Linked DNA regions of Caenorhabditis elegans. The protein of the gene in region 4 interacts with the protein of the main gene of each other region in a pairwise test. Each region holds a gene or a part of one and is shown on either strand. Other genes may lie near its edges.

What was found.
Region 1: the proteins of memi-3 (region 4) and him-8 interact in a two-hybrid assay, tested with the Caenorhabditis elegans proteins (one large-scale study listed by BioGRID).
Region 2: the proteins of memi-3 (region 4) and Y39B6A.34 interact in a two-hybrid assay, tested with the Caenorhabditis elegans proteins (one large-scale study listed by BioGRID).
Region 3: the proteins of memi-3 (region 4) and anmt-2 interact in a two-hybrid assay, tested with the Caenorhabditis elegans proteins (one large-scale study listed by BioGRID).

Annotation. Positions count from the first base shown.
Region 1 is NC_003282.8:10,559,829-10,565,742, reverse strand, and holds him-8 (C2H2-type domain-containing protein), read right to left. Parts: upstream 3,839-5,914; 5' UTR 3,830-3,838; coding exon 3,737-3,829; intron 3,678-3,736; coding exon 3,346-3,677; intron 2,895-3,345; coding exon 2,582-2,894; intron 2,533-2,581; coding exon 2,339-2,532; intron 2,291-2,338; coding exon 2,238-2,290; intron 2,029-2,237; coding exon 1,928-2,028; 3' UTR 1,769-1,927; downstream 1-1,768. Other genes in the region: zim-3 (C2H2-type domain-containing protein), read right to left, coding at 4,758-4,776, 4,817-4,952, 4,998-5,059, 5,108-5,301, 5,382-5,633, 5,720-5,914.
Region 2 is NC_003283.11:18,998,038-19,002,888, reverse strand, and holds Y39B6A.34 (COA8 family protein Y39B6A.34, mitochondrial), read right to left. Parts: upstream 1,872-4,851; 5' UTR 1,870-1,871; coding exon 1,772-1,869; intron 1,550-1,771; coding exon 1,304-1,549; intron 1,186-1,303; coding exon 1,101-1,185; 3' UTR 1,033-1,100; downstream 1-1,032. Other genes in the region: nol-53 (Ribosome biogenesis protein NOP53), read right to left, coding at 9-595, 834-933; tgt-2 (Queuine tRNA-ribosyltransferase accessory subunit 2), read right to left, coding at 2,063-2,461, 3,059-3,247, 4,010-4,543; gtf-2F2 (General transcription factor IIF subunit 2), read right to left, coding at 4,780-4,851. UniProt on the Caenorhabditis elegans protein: May be required for cytochrome c complex (COX) assembly and function, COX being the terminal component of the mitochondrial respiratory chain.
Region 3 is NC_003281.10:6,153,723-6,160,719, reverse strand, and holds anmt-2 (Nicotinamide N-methyltransferase), read left to right. Parts: upstream 1-2,961; 5' UTR 2,962-2,991; coding exon 2,992-3,113; intron 3,114-3,801; coding exon 3,802-4,288; intron 4,289-4,874; coding exon 4,875-4,952; intron 4,953-5,479; coding exon 5,480-5,617; 3' UTR 5,618-5,876; downstream 5,877-6,997. Other genes in the region: nfm-1 (FERM domain-containing protein), read right to left, coding at 274-489, 620-841; rotr-1 (Nbl1_Borealin_N domain-containing protein), read right to left, coding at 5,987-6,136, 6,186-6,314, 6,428-6,616, 6,903-6,997.
Region 4 is NC_003282.8:11,400,275-11,405,821, forward strand, and holds memi-3 (MEiosis-to-MItosis transition associated), read right to left. Parts: upstream 3,065-5,547; 5' UTR 3,064-3,064; coding exon 2,584-3,063; intron 2,537-2,583; coding exon 2,351-2,536; intron 2,302-2,350; coding exon 2,110-2,301; intron 2,060-2,109; coding exon 1,883-2,059; 3' UTR 1,671-1,882; downstream 1-1,670. Other genes in the region: his-66 (putative histone H2B 4), read right to left, coding at 141-512; his-65 (Histone H2A), read left to right, coding at 818-1,201; cyp-31A2 (CYtochrome P450 family), read left to right, coding at 3,698-3,790, 3,837-4,237, 4,281-4,377, 4,424-4,518, 4,567-5,281.

The DNA.
Region 1 (5,914 bases), 840 kb from region 4:
TATGATAACTAAAAGTTATACACTAATATTATCACTCACGGAGATACATAATAATCAAGGAAATATCCCGCTTTGTTTATTGTAACTATAGTAAAATCTTAACACAGAAAATATTTTTTGTATTACCTATACTTATCTTGTAAGCTAGAGTGATTTTAACATTTCCTATTCCATAATAAATTATTTTCAAAGATCCTTGCAACACTTTGCACTTTTCATAATAATGTGTCCTTTTCATCGTGATGAAATATTCTGAAATTCGATTTACTAAAATTGAATTTCGCCAGATTTCGTTAAGAGCAGTTGATCTTTTTTGGATTTGGACACATACTTTTATTTTAACTAGGGTTCAAAGCTTCTACGTACGAAGCTTCTAGAGCTAAGCGTAATTGTTTCTTGGGCTCAAGTTAATAATCGAAGGGAAAACTTTAACTATGAAGGTGTTTTGTAAAAGTACAAAACAGAATTAATAAACTGTTCAGGTTTTTTAATTGTTCATTTTAGTCGGCAAAACTATTTGAGAGCTTTCCACAAAAAGCTGTTCTACAGTAATTACTAAGTTGTTTACAGATGGAACATTTAGTTGAAACATTACGAAACCTTGTGAAAAATGCATTTTACCACAACTTTACTAGAAAATTTTGAAAGTTCCTGGATCGTTTTCTTATGATTTTTGGCCATACATATTGAACTATTCTATGGTGTATTTAGACATATTTTGTAAATTTGTAAATAGTAATCGCTTATAAATTAAGATTTTTAGCTAAACAGTTTCCAAACATCTATCTGAATAACGTATTCTAATCTCATTAATGATTTAGAAGTACGGTACAGTAAGATAGTGTAAATATCGGGTAATGGATTGAAAGTTTTGGAAATCATCTTTACATGATCACATAACATGAAAAATTTTTGTAGAAGTATGCTTGAAATCAACTCCAAAAATAATTATTATTTTGGATGGATCTGAAACTTTCAAACTTTCACAGTTAATAAAATCTTTAATTCTGAAATTATAAACTTACAATCAGCTTAAACTTGGGTTTGCTTAATCCAAGTACCTACCTAACCTTTGCCTAATTTTGACAACTTCTGAACAAGTTAATATGTTTTGACAAATTTGGCACATAGTTGTCGGGGAGTCAGCCGAAAAATTCTTAGAAGGGATAGTATTTGAATAACATCAAAAGGTCATTTAAAATTGTTTCCAATTCCAATTCGCAATTTCATAGAATGCAACGCAAATTTTGCAAAGAGCCGACATGAAACTCATCATAAATTCCTATCCATTTTCACGCCGGTCGCTCATAATAATTGAACCGCAACAGCCTCACTACGCTCACTCCAATTATAATAAATGAAGCGATTATCGAAATAGTTGACCGAAGAGGGGGAACTTTTCCATTAAAAAATAAGACCGGTAAATAATGGAAAAAAAGAGAAGGTAAAAAATTGCTTCATCTCTGTGTATATAATGATGAATATCCGTTTTTATGAGCGCGTCTCGTATCGAAAAAAAGAAGTGGTGGAGGAAGAAGTTTTTATAGGTCCGGTGTGTCTTTTTATGGGTATCGTGACGCTTTAGGCGCCGAATTTGTCGTAAAAGTACGATGAGGAATCTGTGAGAACATCAAACAGCATTGAAAGAATTTTATTCATTAACCCTTGTATTACCTGATTGTAGAGATTTATATCATTTTAAACAATTTGAAGCGCCAGATCTTAAATTTCCATTTTCTGAGCCAAAGTTTTACTAATCTCGAGCTGATTATCAATAAGATTTTATTAATGACACAAACTTTGTAGAAATATGACATAAACCGAATTATATTAAAATTTCGAGATTCGTGCTGTAGGCATGTATAATGTATGAAGTATGCAATATGCCGATATTTACAAAATAAAACGGCTGTGAACTTGCAAAGTTCTAGATGCCACTTCTCTTGGACTTTGACTTGACCCGGCTACGGCGGCTGCCATTTTGAGATTTTGGAGGATTTTTTCGTTTGTTCATCTCGACCAATTGATCTGAACAATTGACTTTCAACTGAATTATGAAACAGAATTTTCAGTTTCCAATCCATGTTTGAAATTAAATTGAACAATTTGGCCTACAGTAAATGAATTTTTTGAGTCGATTTTTATCAAGAAGATTTTAAAAATTTAAAAATTAGAGCAAATCTAAAAAATCAAAAACCATATGGATGTAAAACTATAATTTTTAACTTGATACTTACCTGCGAAACAAGCATTCATAATTTTTTGGAATCCTTTATTTTTGGTTGGCAAGCTGAAAAATTTGCAATTTGTTGAAATATTTTAATTTCAGAAAGTTTACCCAGACACTCCGAAGCCTTCCATTTTTGATGTTGAGTGAAAAATGCGATAGTGATAACGCATTTGACGGATTGTATGACAAGTGTGCTTGCATTTTTTGCATTTCAGAAAGTTTTTATCGCAATGGACCAATGCGTGATCGATAAGACGAAGTTTTCCATATTTCCTCTTCCACGCAATTGCTCGATTGCAGTTCTGCAACAATCCAGGTAATGGAAAAAAACAAACAGAAAATTTAACTCACCGGGAAATGACATTGAATATTGTGGATTTCATCTTTATTAATCTCGTCGTTTTTGCTGTCTGGAGATTTCATTTCATTCTCATTCAACTGATCTTCATCACCGGATTCGTTGTGATAATCGAAAAATGTAGGACTTCGTAATGGAGTCATCACTGTGGTTCGATCAACATCCATCAATTCTGTTTCATTCATAATAACATCATCATTCGGTGGTAATGACTGATACTCTTCATAATCATCAATATTTCCATCGTTGTCTACACCGTCTTGGAGAAACTCCGACTGTCCAGATGATACAATCGGCGAATTAATACTGAAAAAAAAACGAAATTTAAATTCTTGTGACTAACGGTACCCGGTCTCTCGGCAACCGTTTTTTTTCAGGTTCAAAAGAATGCACCTTTAAGGAGTACTGTAGTTACTAACTTTGTTTTTGCAGAATCCGCATTAATTTTTCCTAGTTTTTCCTCCGTTTCTTCAAAACTTGATGTATTTTAATATACATGATTCAACAAAAAAAATCTGGGAACCACAGTACTTTTTAAAGGCGCACACTTTTTTGAATTAAACTAAAATCGATCTCTAGGGTAAAAATTACAAAATTTTGCATATGGGTAATGTCTAAAACAGGTTCGAAGCTTTGAAAAAACAAGTGAATGAATTTTTAATTTGGACTACGAGAAAATATTCAGCGTAATTTAAGATTCACTGCTAAAAGAGTTTAAATTATTGAAAAAAAAATTTTGTATTAAAAAAAAACGTACTCGTCTCCATCTGCAATATTCGTCGTATGATTGGAAACAACATCTTCGATTATCATATCCATAACTTTTTCCACACTATTATTACTTTCATGTGAACTATTTAGTTCTTCTTCTGGTTCTTGATCATAGCTTTCCTTCAAATCTTCGTTCTCGTCGTTCGGTCCAATTTCGGATATTTTTTCCGAAAGATTCAGTGTGAATTTTTGATATAATCCTACGTTTGGAACGATTGGAGTGGAGAAACGAGGAGTATCGACTGTAGCAGTGTTGATTGAAGATATCGACGTGCTCTCGGTGAGGGAAACAAATGAGCTGCCACCGGCGAATTCATTCTGTAAATCGTAATAGTTTCAAAAACGAATACTCAGCAATGAAAAAAAGATAGGCTTACCAAATATTCAATCAATCCATAATGTTTCAAGTTTTCCAGAGTTTTTCCATAGATTCTGATATTAACAAACGAATTTAAAGAATTTCCATTCATTTATCGTATCTGAAAAAATAATTATTAAACATTTAAATAGGGTCGAGCAACAAAAATAAAGGGAATCACAGCATTAAATATTCAAATTAAAAACAAATAATCTCGTTTTACACGAGGGCCTAGTTTTCCCTCATTCTGCTGTTGCTGCACCATATCGTGCCAGAAGACCCATTTACATGCATGTCATCTGTTATTTCATAATAATCTGGCATGCATCTTTGAAATTAGAAAATTTTCATATTTTAACAAGATATTGACGAGCCTTCTCGTATTTTTTCCGATGGGTCTCGCCGCACAAAAAGTGTATGGTAAATAGGTTTAAACCTAGGTTTTTTTTCAATTTTTTGCTGCTACGCTTTTCTTGTATTTTCAAGAAAAAATCACTTAGTTTTTAGCGAAGTTTGTCGTTTTCTACTCATTTTCCTGTTTAAAATTGTTTTAGATCAGTTTTTTCCATAGTACAATTAACATTTATGATCAAAAATGCATGTTTTACACGAAGAAGGATATTAAAAAAATTTAACAGAAAAATGCAAAGTTAATAAGAAAATTAGCAAAAAACGAAGTAATGTTTTTAAAAAAGGAATGAAGCAGCCGAAAAAGTTAAAGAAAAGTACCATAAACTTTTTGCGCCTCGATGCCCATCTGAATAACTCCGTGTGCCTTTAAGAAGGTATATTAAAATTTAGTGATATCACATATATACAGAACTGAATTTAATAGTCAAAAAAGGTATTATAGATGAAAAACTCGCGGACAAAAAATTTACAAAACAAGTTATTTTTTAATGAAAAACATATTTTATAAGTTTATCTCGACAATAACAAACAAAAAACAAAACAAAACAATGAAACTATTACTAAAAAACATTGCAAATGTTACATGAGTTGACAAATAACACATTGTGCAGAGTCGTAGCGAAAGACGATCAGCGAATTCTGCGAAAACTAAACTTCAGAATAAAATAAAGTATATGGAAAAACCTACTAGAAAAGATCGTGTGATGGTCCTGGAGAGTCTTTATCTACATTCTCATTGTCGACTTCTGGAGTATTTTTCAGCGAGTTTTTACATTTTTTATATCTCCGCGGTTTCCCAATATTTCCGATGATGGAAGAATGTGCTGTAATTACACATTGAATATCAATATTTCATATCTGTCTAATACCTCCGAAGCACTTTTGGAAAAGATCGAAAATCGCCACTTCATCAAATTCGATATTGAACACTCTGAAATAATCGTGTTTTATATAATTTATTGAACAATTGACGGCTTACTTCTGAATATTAAACCCATCACACCTCACTTCTGGATGCATTTTTTGATAGTGATACTTCATTTGGGGATGTGTACTGCAAGAGTATTCACATGTGCGACAAACGAGACACTTTTCATTTTCATGAGTCATTGCATGATCCAGAAGTCGTTGTTTGCCGTATCGAAGTTTCCACGAGAGAATTTGCTTACAACCCTGAAAATAGCTTCTTTTTTTTAAATGTTGTCATATTTCCTGAACATCCTCCCTAAGAAATGGCTCAGATCGGAACTTACTTCGAAATTACATTTAATAATATGATTTTTATTCATTTGCTCGTTTCGCTTGTTAAGACGTTGGACAACTGGAACAGCAAACGAAACTTTTTTCGTCGAAGGAATCGGGCTCTCATCCTCTTCATCATCTTCACTGTTTTCCTCATTCTGCTGTTCTGCCTCATCAATTTCTGTTCCAACTTCTTCATAATTTCCGATCAGCACAGTATCCTCATCATCGAAATCATATTGAAACTCTCCCATGGTATTATGCTGCAAAATATTCAATTAAAAACGAAAATCTCATCATGTTGCGACAATTTACAAATTAGAAATAAAGGAAATCTCTTCAATCCTACCTCAGTTGACAGTTCTATGACTGGATGATGATCAACGATATGATTCCCAATCGAAACTGTTCTTTCTGAATCCGTAGCTTTCAAAACCGGCTTCACGTCCTCAGAAATAGAACTCCTGGGCTCAGTGCAAAGACTTTTTGCTGACAAAAACGATTCATTATCTCCATATTCATTAATTGGTTGTTCATATGAGAA
Region 2 (4,851 bases), on a different chromosome or scaffold from region 4:
ACACACACCTTCTCCCACTGTGGCTCAATTCCGGCTTTAATCTTCGCCTCGTGATCAATCAATTTCTGTTCTTCTCCGGCAATTTTCGCCACATATTCCTGATATTCTGCACTTTCTGGATTATAAGAAGCACCTCCTTCGGCAATTTGTACTGCTGGAAGCAGACTTGTAATCGATTTTCCTGGCGTTTTCGGCTGCTTTTTCTTCACAACTTTCAGAAAATGCTCTGCGGCTTCTTGATTCTCAAGCTTAGATTTCGGAATCTTCGGCGTCAAATCAGTCGTCCAAACGTCGAAATTCTTCTTTTTCGCCGCCGGCGCCGCTGCTTTTGGCCCCTTTTTCAGCGCCAAAATCGCGTTGCCACGTGGCAATTTGGCGGGTTTTTTCAGAATTTTCGATGTGGTGGATGGTTTTGGAAGTGTGACATGCTCCTGTGTGATGTTTTTGGTGATTTTTTCCAACGCGGCCTGCTGCTTTTTCGTCAGTTTCGGCACGACTGGCTTGTTGGCGGTGGCGGTACGATCGACAATGAACAGATCTTCGTCTTTCATCTCAGAAATGACACCTCCAGTTGCTGCCTGACGGGATTTGATGTCTGAAAATCGGAAAAATTAGTGAAATTTAGCCTAAAAACGTGAAAAAATTGAGAATTTTTGCCTAAAATTAGCTTAGCAGCGCCAAAATCATATTTTCGCTCAAAATTAACCAAAATCGCCGATTTTTGTCGCAATTTTGAAAGAATTACCATGTTTAATGGAAATTTTTGGTTTTTTCGTCAAAATACTGGAAATTTCGATGATTTTTCAGCGACAATCGCTCGAAAATAAACTTACGAATCGAATCCTCAATATCATCGATATTCGTTCCCTTTCTCCAATATTTCTTGTTGTGGCGTGAGCCCTTCGCGGCTCCAGTACGTTTTCCAGCGACCATCTGAATGCGGAAATTGGCAAAAAAGTGGAAAAAAGGTTGAAAAAGGTAAAATTAGGGTGGAAAACCCGTTGAAAATTCAAGAAATACGATAAAAAATCAAGAAAAAACCCATTTTTATCGGGGAAAAAGCAACGAAATCAACTAAAACTACCCAAAAAATCTACAAATTAACGCCTCGCCATTCGGAAAAATCGGACAACGTTGACTTTGAGTGCTGGCCAAATCAGTTGCAGGTTTCGGCGGTACCATTCTCTGAAAATATTGATTTTTTACATGAAAAATAGCAATTTTCATGGATTTTAATCGATTTTTCGCGAATTTTCATCAATTTTAATCAATTTTATCCGATTTCCACCGCATTTTCACCCACTTATTATAGGCCATCATCGCCACGTGTCGATCATTCAAAAAATCGCGATAAAACTCGCTGAGCTCGTTCGCCGACACGTGTTCCAGTCTTCCAAGCTCTTGCTGCTTTCGCTCGACAAAATCCGACTTTTGCCGGTCGAACAGTTGATTGTGTTCGGCCCAAAAATCCGAATTCCACTGATTCAGCTCTTCCCGAGCCAGCCGATACTGCCGCTCGAGTTCCGACTCATTATCGACGCGGCGGAGCCTGGAAAATCAATAATTATAATTTTTAAAACAGATTTTTGGCAAAAAATATGGGAAAATTTCGCTGAAAACCGACGAAAATTGATTAAAATCTAGTTTTCGTTAACAAATGGAAAAGTGCGCGGAGGTGTTGCGTCACCAAACTCCGCCCACTTTTCCGTGCGGCAGCGCTAAAAATTGCGAAAATTATTTATTTTCAGCGTATTTTTCAGGATTTTCTCACATAATTTTGCGAATTTTCGATAAATTATCCGGCGGTCCAACCCAATCGAATCGGCGATCCATTCGGACATTTGATGAGGAGGAGGAAATCGATGACATCTGGGAAATTAGGCTGAATTTTGGGGAAATAGGGAAAAAATTATAGGAAATATATAAAAAACCGGAGTTTTTACCGGGAAAATTGCAATAAAACGCTGAATAAAAGGTGTTTAATTAAATTAAGAAACCAACAAGTGAAAAAATAACAAGAATAGAGTATATAAAATCAACAAAAAAAATTTGAAAAAACCAATCACAATCCTTCAGAATTCTCCAACGAGCTCCGAATAAGCTTAAACATTTTATCATACTCTGTCATATTATGAATAACTAATAAAATCGAAGCCAGAAGCTCTCGGGTGTTCAGAAGGTGTTGTAGGTATCCTTTAGTGTATTTTGTGCACGTATAGCAGGCGCATCCGTCGAAAAGTGCGGTAAAATCGTCGGCGAACTTCTCATTATTGAAATCCACTACTTCATATTTCGAAGACGTCGGAAAATCGTCTGAAAGACAGAACGCGTGGCCTTCTTCGGCCAATTTAACTGGAAATGACGAGTCGAACAGATCGATTCCTTGTTGGACGAGGAAAAGCACGGTTTTTGGGTTGAAAGGTCCTGAGATACATCGGAGTTTTGTAGGTGGAAGTGGGCTCTGGAAAAAAATGCATGATTTTTTGGGGAAAAATCGACCATTTCCGCTAGAAATCCGGGATTTTCAGTTAAAAATCCGAGGAAATTGTGCTTTTTGTGTGGTTAGCAGCGCCAAAAATTCAGGTTTTTGGATTTTCAAGCAGAAATTCTATGGAAAATTCAAAAATTTGAAGAAATTAGTGATTTTCTGGTGGAAAATAATGAAAAATTGCCCAGAAATGTGTGATTTTCGGTGAACTTTCGCATATTTCGGCTTGAAAATCGGAAATTTCTATCGGAAATAAGTGATTTTTAGAAAAAATTAGGAAATTTTGGTCGAAAACGAAGTTTTATGTAGTTAGCAGCGCCCAAAACTTGTAGTTTGTAGTCTAAGCAGCGCCCAAAACTTGTAGTTTGTAGTCTAAGCAGCGCCCAAAATCACATTTTCGCTCAAAATTAACCAAAATTGCCGATTTTTTTCGCAATTTCGAGGGAATTCACGATTTTCAATGGAATTTTTATGAATTTTCAGCGGAAATTGCCTCAAAAATCGTTAAAAATGCTCTTTTCATCTATTTTTTTTTCGCAGAAAAGCCAAATTTTCAGTGAAAAAACGAACAAAAGTCTCCTCCAGGAGCTCTTTCATCTCCTTATCGTCAGTTTCCTTTCCCTCTGTGAATTCGCGAAATTCGACAGTGTATCCAGCAATATTTTCAGCCAATCCAACGTCAACTGCACATTTCCTCCGATGATACTTGCTGAAACCACCGCCCAGCGACACAATTCGTTCTCCATTCACTTTTTCGTCCTAGAAAATTTGCGAAAATTTGGTGTAAAAACTATGAAAATCGCAATAAATTTAGATTTTTACACAAAAAAGTTGTAGTTTTTGTAGTCTAAGCAGCGCCCAAACTGGTAAAATTCAGGCTTTTACACCGATTATTTTGCAATTTTTTCGGAGAAAAGTTGTGAAAACTTTCAAAAAAGCTGGAAAAAAGTCATTTTTCAGTTCAAAATCGAGAAAATTGTAGTTTGTAGCTTTAGCAGCGCCCAAAATTGAATTAGCAGCGCCCAAAAATTGTAGTTTGTAGTCTAAGCAGCGCCCAAAATTGAATTAGCAGCGCCCAAAATTGTGTAGTTTGTAGTCTTAGCAGCGCCCAAAATTGAATTAGCAGCGCCCAAAACTTGTAGTTTGTAGCTTTAGCAGCGCCCAAAATTGAATTAGCAGCGCCCAAAAATTGTAGTTTGTAGCTTTAGCAGCGCCCAAAATTGAATTAGCAGCGCCCAAAAAATTGTAGTTTGTAGTCTTAGCAGCGCCCAAAATTGAATTAACAGCGCCCAAAAATTGTAGTTTGTAGTCTAAGCAGCGCCCAAAATTGAATTAGCAGCGCCCAAAATTGTGTAGTTTGTAGTCTTAGCAGCGCCAAAATGAAAAAAATCCAGGTTTCAACCGATTTTCACCAAATTTTCACCAGTTTTTCACAAAAAAAGTCATTTTCATGCTAAAATGTAGCTTTTCATTCATTTTTTCCCCTGAAAAATTCAAATTTTTAATTGATTTTTTCGCTACCTGCTGAAACAGCTGCTCTTGGAAGGTTTTCGTCCTATCCACCGCCTTAACAAGCTTCTTCTGTCCAACATCTTTCGGTGTATCATAGTCGACAAGAGTCTCAATAGAGCCACAACCAAACGAGTTAATAATTTCCCGCCACATTTTAACATCCAACGAAACTTTTCCGTTTGCCGTCCAAATCGCGACGGATTTCGAGTCATTATACCCTCCGGGAAGCTTTCCAAGCGGGTCAAACGGTGTCAGGTGAACCGCCGCGCCTGCAGGCATCCCACAAAATTTCGCAGCGCCTTTTCCGAATTTCTCGATAATTTTCGCGTTTGACACCAGCGTTGGGAGCGTCATTTGAAAAATGTGGGTTTGTTCGAGTTTCAGCTGATTCTCAGCAACTTCCCATGTCAGGTGGGGAATATGTCCGGCTCGTAGGTAGGTTTGAAAGGATGGGGTCTGGTGGTTAACCTCCACGGAGCCCCATGTGTCGATTTTGCCCAAGCGGCCCAGAAGCGTCTTTTTTTCGATTTGAAATTTGACCATTCTGAAAAAAAAAGAAGTAAAAAATCAATTTTTTTTTCCTATTTTTCTCGAAAAAAAACGAAAAAAAATCTGATAATAAATAGAAAACTGGGCTAAATAACCCAAAATCAACGAAGAAATCCAAAAAAAAAAAAATTCAAAAATCCCCAATATTCACAAGTGTTCATCATGTTTTTAAAAAAGAAGAGATGTATAGTAAATAAATAATAATAATAATGTCCAAAAAAAAGTTGGAATTATTCCGATTGTGCGTTGACTTTGTAGTTACAGTATTCCGGTTTCAGGCACCACAGAGACTTGTGCGGTGG
Region 3 (6,997 bases), on a different chromosome or scaffold from region 4:
ACTTGAAAATGTTTTGCCAATTTTTCTGGAAGAAAATGGGATTTTCAAATACTCTTCAAATATCCTTTCTGAAAATTTTAGATTTTCAAAATTTTACAGCAAAAGTTTTGGTAAATTTCGATATTGTAATTCTCAATTTTTCAGAAATATATTAAAAATTTTATGAGTGATTTTAAACACTTTCTCAACTGACGATCTTTTAAAAGTTCAATAAAGGAATTTAAATGGCATTTTCATATTTTGTAAAACCCAGTTAAAATACAAAAATCTTACCATTGCTTGAACTGCAAAACTGGCCAATAAAACACTTGCTTCAGGTGAACAATATAGATTCATTGAAAGTATTGCTTCTCGTATTTGTAAAAAGAACAAATGTCTAGTGGCATCTAGAATAATCTCAGGTTCCACGTCTTCTGGATAGAATTTGACAAGAAATAAGAAATTAAAAGTTCCATCAGATGTGTCTTTTTGGATGTCTTGGCCACAGATCTGGAAAATTTCAAAAATTAATTATTTTCAGAGAAATTATTTTTCCCAAAATATTTTAATTTGATAATTAGAATTTGGTTTTATTGTTGGAAATACCGTATCCCCAAAAATGTATTCAACAAAAACTCACAGTTTTATCATTCTGTAACCAACATGGAATATTCTTTTTATTTGTGAACTGTAGTCCAAAATACCAAGTTTCCCGTAATCCAATAATTCGACAAACTGCTTCAAATAAATGTCTTCCTGTCCATGTTTTCTCAATTACAATCTTCTCCAAATCAGCATCCATTGTGCTCACTTTTGCGTAAATGGGCTTCGTGTTTCGCGAAAATATCGAAAATCCACCCATTGCTATTTTTTGGAATTTTTGTAGGTGAAATTAGCCTGGAAGTTTAAGAAAAAAATAATACTAGCAACTATTATTCATTTCTGAAAAAAGACCGTTGTCTGCACATGAACGTATTGCACGTATTTTCTTTCCGTCAAGTAAGAACAACATCCAAAAATTCAGATACTAAAATTGCTTTTTTAGTTTCTTTGAAAATAAAAATTTCAGATAGTTTCAGTTTGAGGCAATTAGAAAATAACGTGGATTCCAATATTTCCGTTTAAAACTTCGGAAAGTTAGAAAAGTTCTATAGTCTCCGAAGTACTGAATTGGTTTCTCTAGGGTGAAAAATCAATAATGAGATGAAGCCCATCTTAAAAAAAGTATGTTAAATAGTTAAGAAAAGTGAAGAAAATCAATGTAAGTACGCCCCAGGGCAAATAGTGTTGTAACTGTATAGGTATCTGCGTCGAGGAACTCTATGCCAACTGTCTGTCTCACAAGAAGTGTTAGAACATATGAGAGGAAGGAGAGGCATTGGAACTAACAACAAGAGAAGATGATTGGAAGAGAGGACGAAACAATATTTCAACACTCATAATGATGATAGGTATGGAATCCCAGGTGCATTCATTGAAGAATAACTGATAAAAATATTGAAGAACAATGATTCAATGCCCCCAACTGATATGACGCATTGTGAAAATATGTGGCCTGGTCTCGTGTGAACAAGAATTTTCAGTTTTTCGATAAATAAAATAATGTCAACACGCCCTTTCCTCCTCCATCGTTTTTCTCCAAATGGTTTCGATACAAAAGTTACATCGACTGACGAGATTCAAAAAGATTCGCAGTCAGCAGGATTCGAACCTACGCGGACAGAGCCCATTTGATTTCGAGTCAAACTCCTTAACCACTCGGACATTCTTAACCACTCGGACATGACTGCACGTTTTGGTTTATTATCAAGTATATTTTCATTTTGTACAATTTCGAAGTTACAACGAAAAAAATGTGCGAAAAAATTGAAAAAAATTTAACGCAGTCAGCAGGATTCGAACCTACGCGGGCAGAGCCCAATTGATTTCTAGTCAATCTCCTTAACCACTCGGACATGACTGCACGACGAACCACAACTTTCGTGGCCTAGACATGCCGGGTGTTACGCATAATAGGAGGAGGGGATGGGGAGAAGTGGTCAATGGGGGGAGATGAAAGGGGGAATAGGGACAGTATAGAAAAATTCACACAATCGGTATTTTTCGATTGACTTATTATTATATTTTCAAAAGAGACATCAGTGTGAAGTGGGGCGCACTTGTGTAAGCAAAATGGCCAACAAAAATTCGAAAACTTCAGTAACTTTTCGATTAACCTCCCTATTCCTTTGAAGTCATATAATTTTCGAATGAAGTTTAAGTACATTTTTTCCATATTGAAAATTCAAAAATTCCAGAAAGATGAAATCCAGAAAAATGTTTCGAAAGTACAGTGTACTGATAGTGAGCTACAGTACAATTTTCGTAAGTACGCTCGATGGAACCTACTTTCCCTTAAATTTACAGTAACGCATTAAAGTTCTGCAAAGTTTCATAACCAATCTGCCAAAAAACTTCCTCATAACATAATTTGTTGTTTCCCATCTTTCCACTTTGCTCTTCGTACTCTGTGCCTGCTCCCACTGTCTGGCTCCCAACACTTCCTGCCGGGAGCCTCGGGAAATCCCTTCTTCCCTCTCTCTCTCTCTATCCTTCTCTCCCAGAGCTCCGAAAAAATAGGCGGAGCCAGAGCACACACTTATGCTCTCGCTCTCTGTGCAAGAGCCACCTCACTCAATTTTTGTGCTACTTCGAGAGTGTCGATGCCTCATTTGTTAATTGTTTGTTATTTGATGATGATAATGAATTGTTGTATCGATATTTAATTGCACTCTGCGTGGGTGTTATCACTTAAATATTAGAGTTTTTCTGGAAAAAAGGAGTAAACTTAAGAATTTTGGAGATTTTGAGGGAAAAACAAACATGTGAAAAGCGGAAGAAAATAGAGATATACATAGACTTTTAAAAGTGCTTTGTTTCCTTGTTATATTTCTGATTTTTTTTTTCAAAAATTTGGACTCAAAAAAATTAAAATATTTTCAGTGTCGTTTAATCTCTTATTTATACCTCGTCATGTCTACTCTCATCGACCCTACCATTACGGAATCATCGGATGCCCAGCATACTGTACTTTTGCCTGAGGACTACGTCAAGAAGTTCGATCCTGATGAGTATTTGCAGTTTTATTTCAGCAGGTTAGTCAGAAATCTTTGATATGTCGCAACGACCGTTCGATGTAACCCATGAGATGTCGGCCTCCCACCAATGAACACTTTCTGAGCCCCTTATCATGTAGGCTGCTTCAACAAACATGTCAAGCTACCATTTTCCAGAAATTGGTTATGAAACCCGTAAAATGTCGGTTGCCGCAATTTTTTAATGTTTTGAATCCAGTATTATGTCGGTTGTTATAATCTTGCGCGCGAGGTTGCCGCCACAAAACTTGGAAGAAACATTTTTCATAAATAACGGGCTTCAATTTCTAGAACTTTCGATCCCGATTTGCACTTTCTATCCGCTCTCGATACCGTTCACTTCATTTTTGACACAAAAACGAGTGGTTTGTTCACAAACAAAACCTCTTATCCCCGGCTTGCTTTGGCTTTGCTCCTGTTGCTGCTGCACACGAAATCGGTCGCAGATCGGTTACCTTTTTCTCTTTTTGAGTAGGAGAGGATCTTTTGTGTCAAGAGATCGAAAAAACTGAGAAAAGAGGAGGGAGGCATCATTGGCTCTTAGACTCTAAACTTTTGAAAATGAGACGACACATTTTTGGGTGCTATCAAGTCAAGTACCTGTCTGACAAGGAACGAACAATCCAAGGGAGAGAGTATAAACATCAGACATTCCATATATATCCAAAATTTCATTTCTCATTTCCAGAGATGCTATTGAAGATGGAACCCGTGTTTCCCTATTCGCACTTCCTGTCTTCGCCCAACTTATGCTCCAAACTATGCGACCTTCTGAACGTGAAACTCTTCTGGATATTGGAGCAGGACCAACCGTCTATTCGGCTCTTTGTTTCCGTGATGTGGCAAAGCGTGTTCACTTATCAGATTTTGTCGATCGGAACCTTGACGTTCTGAGAAAATGGATCCGCCACGAGGAGACTATTGACTGGGTGCCAACTATCAAAGTGATCAACCGAACGGAAGGAGGTCCCACTCCAACAGATCAAGTATGCATTGATGTTGAAGAAAAAGCCCGCGGATTGGTCAAGTCTGGTGGAATTCATTTCGCAGATGTTCACCAGATGGATGTGGTCCCTGAATTGGCTGGGAAGAAGGTGGATATCCTGGTGTCGATCTTCACGTTAGAAAGTGCTTGTCGCAACTATGAAGAGTATTGTAAATGTGTCACTAATATGGTAAGTCTAAATGGATTTTTGCGGTTTAGGCTTAGGCTTAAGCATATCGTTCGTTTTAGGAGCTTGATTATGCCATTAAGGTTATTTTACACGTCTCTTCTAAAATAGTTTCTGAAATCCCAGTACTGAAGATAGATCTTGGTTCACATTTCTTTTTCTCCATTTCTAAGTTCAAAACACGAATTTCTTTCGAATAGAGAACAATAAAATTGTAAACTACAGTAAACTACTAGCTCAAAGAGTTATTGTAAGTGTAATTCGATCTATTTTATTCTCCAGTAACAACTTCGTCATAACTTTCTTTTCATATTCCTATATCTCTTCACAATCAGTGTTCACTTCCCCTTTACACCCGTTCTCTATTTCTCTGTCTATCTTATATCCAATTTTCACGGTGCCAACGAAGAAAATGAAAAAAAAAAGAGTTTAGAAACAGATGTCTTTCATCTTTTCCAAGATGTAAAGTGTGTCGTTTTTCGGAAAAAAAAGAAATGAGAATGAGCCAACGACTGAATGGCACCAGATTTGATAGTTTGAAATGAGAAAAAGTGAAATCAAAATGTGTTTTGATTTTGTGTGATTCCAGATGAGACATCTCCGTTCCGGCGGTCGTTTTGTGCTTGGTTCGGTGCTCGAGGACGATGAGTACAACTCGGGAAGAAAGGTAGGAAAGGGCCAATTGATCTGGTAATTTGATCTGTGCTCTTGCGATTTTAACGGGGTCAGTTTGTGTGATTGCGTCAATGATGCAGGTATATATGATAGCTAGAGAAGTTTTATTGGTTTTAGGCGATGGGAATGAGGATTGAAGGATACAAATTCAGACTTGTGATAGAACATATCTTTTTGAAACAGTGCTAGTATTTTTTTTTTCTGAAATATTAGACGTTTAAGCGATACATTAACTTCGAAAACGGAGCAGTGGGGCCGCAAGACTAACATGTTACTGTACTTAAAATTAAAGGAAAAACCGATAAACCGTTTTCTCGAGGATGTTTCTTGTTTTTCTTTTTACTTCCTCTTACTTTTACCCGCTCTTAGCATATTTCCAAACTTTGTACAAAATTTAAAAAAAAAACATATGATTGTTTTTTCGCGCGGCGAGACCCAACTGTATAAATAGACCTGCATTAAAATTCGTAGCCAAAATACTCGTATGTATATGCCAACAAAAAAAATCAAAATTTACAGACAATCTTCCATCTCCTCAATCTCAGTGAACAGATGATTCTTGATGCTCTTGTATCTGTTGGTCTTGATGTTGCCAATGCAAAGAAATACGTTTTGGACGGAGAAGGTGTCATGTTCATAATGGCTACGAAGCTCTAAACTTGTTGTTTAATTAGATTCCCCACTCGATCATTTGTCAGTATTGATGAAGTCACTAGGCGTATATCAACAAAAAAGTACTGTACTCGGCTTTAGGTCTCTTTCACTTCTTTTTTTAATTGTGCACTATATTCTTTTCATATGTTTCGCTTTTTAATTGTAAAATGGTCAGAATTCATCCGTCCTCTGCATGTTGTATTTCGAGCTTACTGGTTTGCTTAATATTGATATAATAATAATAATAAATCTGTAGAAATTGAGAACTGAATTAAAAGTGGAGCATCAGTAGAAAAACGTTTGAAATCATCCAAAACCGAGGTAAGTGCTTAAATATAATAAAAGTGTGTTTCATATTCATCAATTTCAATTTCAAACTTTCTGAGTTCCATCATCGCTGGGCGGAGAACGATCGAGTCCCAACAATAGATCATCTCGATTTGGAGATGCAGGAGATCTAGAAGAAGGACGTGGCTTTTTGGAAAATGAAACATCTGATTCTTCTGATTCTTCACGACGACGCTATAAAAATTTCATTTAGTTATATTTTTTGATGGAATATTTAGATTACCGCTTTCAGTAAAACCCTTTTCACTTCATGAGCTGAGTTTCCAAGTTCTAGCAAATTGAACGCCGATGATATCATTTTCAGATTGGGTGGTGCGTACATTGAGATGTAGTTGCAAAATTGATTCAGGATCTCAAAAATATTTTTTAGGAACAATTAATCCAGAGAATCTGAATTAGGTGCCTTCAACCAAATCCAAAGAATACATACACTCTCGTTTCTCTGCAGTAACCGTTATTCCTCACCTGTGTCAATGTATGAAGCCTGTTAATCTCTTGAACGTCATTCTTGAATTTTTCAAACATTTCCAGCAACTGCTTCACTTCATCGTAACTAAATCCAATTTGCATTAGATCAAACTGTCGTTCCGCAGGAAATCTCATCAACTCCTCTTCGGACGCTAGTGGAGCCAGCATTTCAATGTGATTCTTCCGCTTAAATTATTTATTGAAAATTAAAAGATTTGATAATTAAACCAGTATAACATCGACGTAGGCATATAATACCTTCCTTGTGCCTACCTACTGCTACACTACAAGACCTACTTATTTGTTATTATCTCAGTTGGTTTACATCTAAAGGTTTACATCTACATCTAAAGTTATCATCTAAAGTGGCCTCAAAATGCAGAAAATGTGTAATAGTCAGGTAGGTCAGGTAGACTTGTTATGATAATATGGGCACGGGCCTACCTACTACGACAATCTCATAAAAACTTACTGTGTGATTGTTCAATAAACTGCTAAGAGTTGTTGGGGTCACCACAAAATTTTGGCTCTCTGAAGTCGTTGAAAGAGAGCTCTGAGAATCGAATC
Region 4 (5,547 bases):
AAATAACAAGACACCATAAACAAAATGAGATTTAGTCAAAATTAAAACGATTTATTGATTATCAAGTCTATAGGATTTTAAAGATTTGTGGCCCTAAAGAGGGCCGTTGGGTTCGGTGGGGTAGTTTTCAGCCTAATGGCTTACTTGCTGGAAGTGTACTTGGTGACGGCCTTGGTTCCCTCAGACACGGCGTGCTTGGCAAGTTCTCCTGGGAGAATCAAACGGACAGCGGTTTGAATTTCGCGGGATGAGATCGTTGAGCGTTTGTTGTAATGAGCAAGACGGGAAGCTTCCGAAGCGATGCGTTCGAATACATCGTTGACGAAGGAGTTCATGATAGACATGGCCTTGGAGGAGACTCCGGTGTCTGGGTGAACTTGCTTGAGAACACGGTAGATGTAGACGGAGTACGATTCCTTGCGGGCATGACGTCTCTTCTTTCCGTCCTTTGGCTTGGCAACGACGGTCTTGGCGGCCTTCTTGGCTCCCTTGGCAGATGGCTTTGGTGGCATGATGAGAATGAACTTGAATCAAGTATGAGGAAATGGTTGGAGAGACACCTATTTATGTAAAAACTGCGGTGGAGGGGCGGAGCTTCCCGCGGGGACACATTACTGAGTGCACACAAAATTCCGAATGTACCGAGGTTAATAGGGGGACAAAGAGAAGTGAGAGAAATGTGTCCTACCAGAGAGTGCGGAATGTTCAAATAGAGGTGTCCCCGCATGAAACTCCGCCCCTCCACCGTAGAAATGAATATAAACAGACAGTTTCGATTCATTCTTCAGATTCGTCTTACGAACACCAATCGCTCATCATGTCTGGACGTGGAAAGGGAGGCAAAGCCAAGACCGGAGGAAAGGCCAAGTCACGCTCATCAAGAGCTGGACTTCAATTCCCAGTCGGTCGTCTTCACCGTATTCTTCGCAAAGGAAACTATGCTCAACGTGTTGGAGCCGGAGCCCCAGTCTACTTGGCCGCTGTTCTTGAATATCTCGCTGCTGAGGTTCTCGAGTTGGCCGGTAACGCTGCCCGTGACAACAAGAAGACCCGTATCGCCCCAAGACATCTTCAACTCGCTGTCCGCAACGACGAGGAGCTCAACAAGCTTTTGGCCGGAGTGACCATCGCCCAAGGAGGAGTTCTTCCAAACATCCAAGCCGTTCTTCTCCCAAAGAAGACTGGAGGAGATAAGGAGTAAGAACTTTCTTCTTTAAACAAACCCACCGAACCCAACGGCCCTCTTTAGGGCCACAAATATAAAAAATCCTAAAGATATTTCATATTACATTTATTTTGAATAATATGTTTGCTTGAATTCAATCAGTATTACTGTCAATAAGTTTTCACATGTTTTCGAGCCAAGATATCGGTCAGGAAACGACATTTAGAAATTGCAGAATTATGATCACTATGTAATGTGGCCAATTGCCTATCAAGCCTCAAGTATCGAAAAGTTGCATGTCGCAAGCTGGAATTGCCAGCGTTTTCAGAAATTTGCGTTCATTAATTCTAATTTCGAATTCATCTTTTTAGGCTGGAGGCATCTTCCATATCGTAAATCATTGTACCCGGCTGTATAAAAATTTTGATATCTGAAACCAGAAAATTATCAGCTTATCAGAAGAATTTAATTTGAAAAATTTTTCAGAGTCATGTTAAAAAGATTTTTTAAATCAACCAGTTCATGATTTGGTAAAGTTAATTCAAGCAATATACATGTTGAACATAAACAAAATATTCGAGGGTCATGGTGAGTTGGAGGAATGGAAAATAAAATAGGGGAAAGTTAGTTGATATATTTAACAGGAACCACTTAGTTATTCAGATAGATATATACAAAAACTTATGCACATTATAACTAATTATTGGACAAATGAATTCACTCTTCATCCAGTTCGAATGTTTCGAGGAACGAGATTAGGTCGTCGACAAGCACCATTCCATTTCTCAACGAGACCATATCGTTTTCGACCTCGAATTCATGAAATTCGACTGGCTCTTCGACAATCTGCACTCGTCGGTTCATGCACTTCACCGTTTGCTCCAATTCGATGTACTGAAAACGTTATAAATTGGAAACCGATAAATTATTGCTATTCAACTCACTCTATATCTCCGGAAAGGATCCCTGGCGCTCGAGTTGTTATTGTACACGATCCTCGTTTCCACGTGGCGCTTTCCTCGAATCGAACACGTGATTGATGCAGTCGAGGCCATCAGTCGGCCTTGTGAATCGAGTCCTGGCTCGAGATTTCCGTATTCCCGGCAGTTTGTTGTTCGCAGGCGACGAGTGGTAGTCTGAAATATGAAAAGTTATCGGTGTGAAATAGAAAACTATTTTACGTACACTCTTGCTCTGTGATCGGATCAATGTTGCCACCACAAAGCTGTCTGTCATCTGGAAGCCTTCGATTTCCATCTCCAGTTTTTCGAGAATTGCAAACAATTGCTGGAACGGCATTGCAGTCTTTGCCTGGATCGCAAATCGAACCACATTTTGACCCGTCTCTTTCGGCTCGGCCAGGAGGGAAGTCTGAAATAAAAAAATTTTTTTGGGAAAAATATACTCAAGAAACTAACTAGAATCAGACTGGAGATATCTTCGGCCGAAAGCATGCGGCACTGAGCGGCGAAATAGTGTGGTCGCTGGTTCGGATGAAGGAGCACGTGCTCGACAAGCGCTTTCTCCGATTCTCTGGTCGTGTTGAACCATCTTTGCGAGAAGAAGTCGTAGCGCTTGAGACGGAGATTTTCAATCGGCATTGTTTGAATGTCTCTTAGCACTTTGACAGCTTCATCGCGGATGATTGCCTTGCTCGGCTTCTTGTCGACGAGCTTTGGAGTTTCATCGATACGATGCAGGGAACGGTAGTTCTTATCCTCGACGAGCTCCACGTCTTCTCCATGCCCTTCGATAATTGCATCATGATTGATGTTGGGTTGTGGTGGGAGGGCTGAGCAACCGGCTCGAGCGGTTTCCAATTGATATTCATCGGTGTAGTTGGCCACGTATTTGGTCGCCGTCAATTCGCGAAGAACGGTACGGGACGGAGCTGACATTCTAAAAAACGTTGGTTTGAAAAATTAATGGAAAAATAAGAATTCGAAGCAAAAATTAAAGATAAAACTTTAAAAAAAACAATGTACTCAAGTGATTAACAGATTAATAATGCTTCACCGATAAAACAATATTTATGAAATTTCATTACGGCTCTCTGAACATCAGCAAAGTAGAAGAATGTTCACAATCAAAAATTTTCGTTGGGCCTAAAATAACACAATTGTTGCGCTGACTTTTCGCGGGGGAGATCGAATAGGTCAAATAGGCGATGCATTCATAAAAAGTACAATACTTATTGAAAAATAATTTTGGATTTGTTTTCTTTTTTTTTTGTTGAAAAATTAACGCGATTGAAAGTTTTTAATCATTAAATCAAGATTTAAATATCATGATATATCAGAAAACAACAAAAATCAGTTTTAGAATTTTTTTGAGCCTACCGTACTCTTTAAAGGCGCATGGCGATTTTCAGATGGGTCTCACTACGACATGCGTGAAATTTGAATGTTGATTCAAAAACTGTTCGTTTTTTTTCTTTTTTTAGAACCAAAGCTTAACAAACGCTTTTTCTCATGTTTTAAACGCGTTTTGCTCGTTTCTTCGCACAAATAAATTATTTCAGAAGGTTTTGCAATGGGGGTCATCATCCCCGCTGTACTTCTCGCTATGGCGACTGTGATCGCTTGGCTTCTCTACAAACATTTGAGAATGCGTCAAGTTTTGAAGGTCAGATTGCAAAATGCATTCAAAGATAACTCAAATAAATTTCCAGCACCTCAATCAGCCACGATCATATCCAATCGTTGGTCACGGACTCATCACCAAGCCCGATCCAGAGGGATTCATGAACCAAGTGATTGGAATGGGATATTTGTATCCAGATCCACGGATGTGTCTTCTCTGGATTGGCCCATTTCCATGTCTGATGCTCTACTCTGCCGATCTTGTTGAACCAATTTTCTCATCGACGAAACATCTGAACAAAGGGTTCGCATACGTTTTGCTCGAGCCATGGCTTGGAATCAGTATTTTGACGAGCCAAAAGGAACAATGGCGTCCAAAACGAAAACTATTGACACCAACATTCCATTATGATATTCTCAAGGATTTTTTGCCGATTTTTAACGAGCAATCAAAGATTTTGGTTCAGAAATTGTGTTGCCTCGGAGCAGAGTAAGAATTTTAATTGATAACTCGTTCAAATGTTTCTTTTCAGTGAAGAAGTTGATGTTCTCTCCGTTATAACCCTTTGCACTCTTGACATCATTTGCGAAACCTCTATGGGGAAAGCTATTGGTGCTCAACTCGCGGAGGTTGGGTAAACAACTCGAATCTCAAAATTTCTAAATACTTTTTCAGAATAACGAGTATGTATGGGCGGTGCACACAATCAATAAACTGATTTCAAAAAGAACAAATAATCCGTTGATGTGGAATTCATTTATTTATAATTTGTACGGTAGTTTTATCATTAATAAGGTGAATTAATTTGTAATTTTCAGAACAGAGGACGGACGGACTCATGAAAAATGTCTTCGTATTCTCCATGATTTCACAAAGAAAGTGATTGTCGAGAGAAAGGAAGCTCTACAGGAGAATGATTATAAGATGGAAGGTCGTCTCGCATTTTTGGATCTTCTTCTCGAAATGGTGAAAAGTGGACAAATGGACGAAACAGATGTTCAAGCAGAAGTTGACACATTTATGTTTGAGGGTCACGATACAACATCTACAGGATTAATGTGGGCAATTCATCTTCTGGGAAATCATCCTGAAGTTCAGAGAAAAGTTCAAGCGGAACTGGATGAAGTAATGGGCGACGATGAGGACGTGACTATTGAACATCTCTCCAGAATGAAATATCTCGAATGTGCACTAAAAGAAGCTCTGCGTCTCTTTCCATCTGTTCCAATTATTACAAGAGAACTGAGTGATGATCAAGTCATTGGAGGTGTTAATATTCCAAAAGGAGTCACTTTTCTTCTCAACCTGTACCTTGTTCACCGTGATCCTGCTCAATGGAAGGATCCTGATGTATTCGACCCGGATCGCTTCCTTCCTGAAAACTCAATTGGTCGCAAATCATTCGCCTTTATCCCATTCTCAGCTGGAAGCCGTAACTGCATTGGCCAACGTTTTGCACTCATGGAAGAGAAGGTCATCATGGCTCATTTGTTGAGAAATTTCAATATAAAAGCTGTCGAATTGATGCATGAGGTAAGAATTGGAAACACCGCCGATTAGCTTTTTTTGTATGACTAGGCAAAATAAGCTATGTTTCAATCCAAAACTTTGAAAATTATTGCAATATCTATTTTCTCGCAGAAATGTTTTCATTTCGCTATTTTAAACGGCTCTCGGTGTCGATATACAAAAGAAATTGCAAAATGAGCAAATTCCAGCGAGGAAATAAAATTACAGTAGTTTTCAATGTTTTTGATTTTAAAAAAAGCTTATCTTGCTCTCTTATCCCCAATAGACGT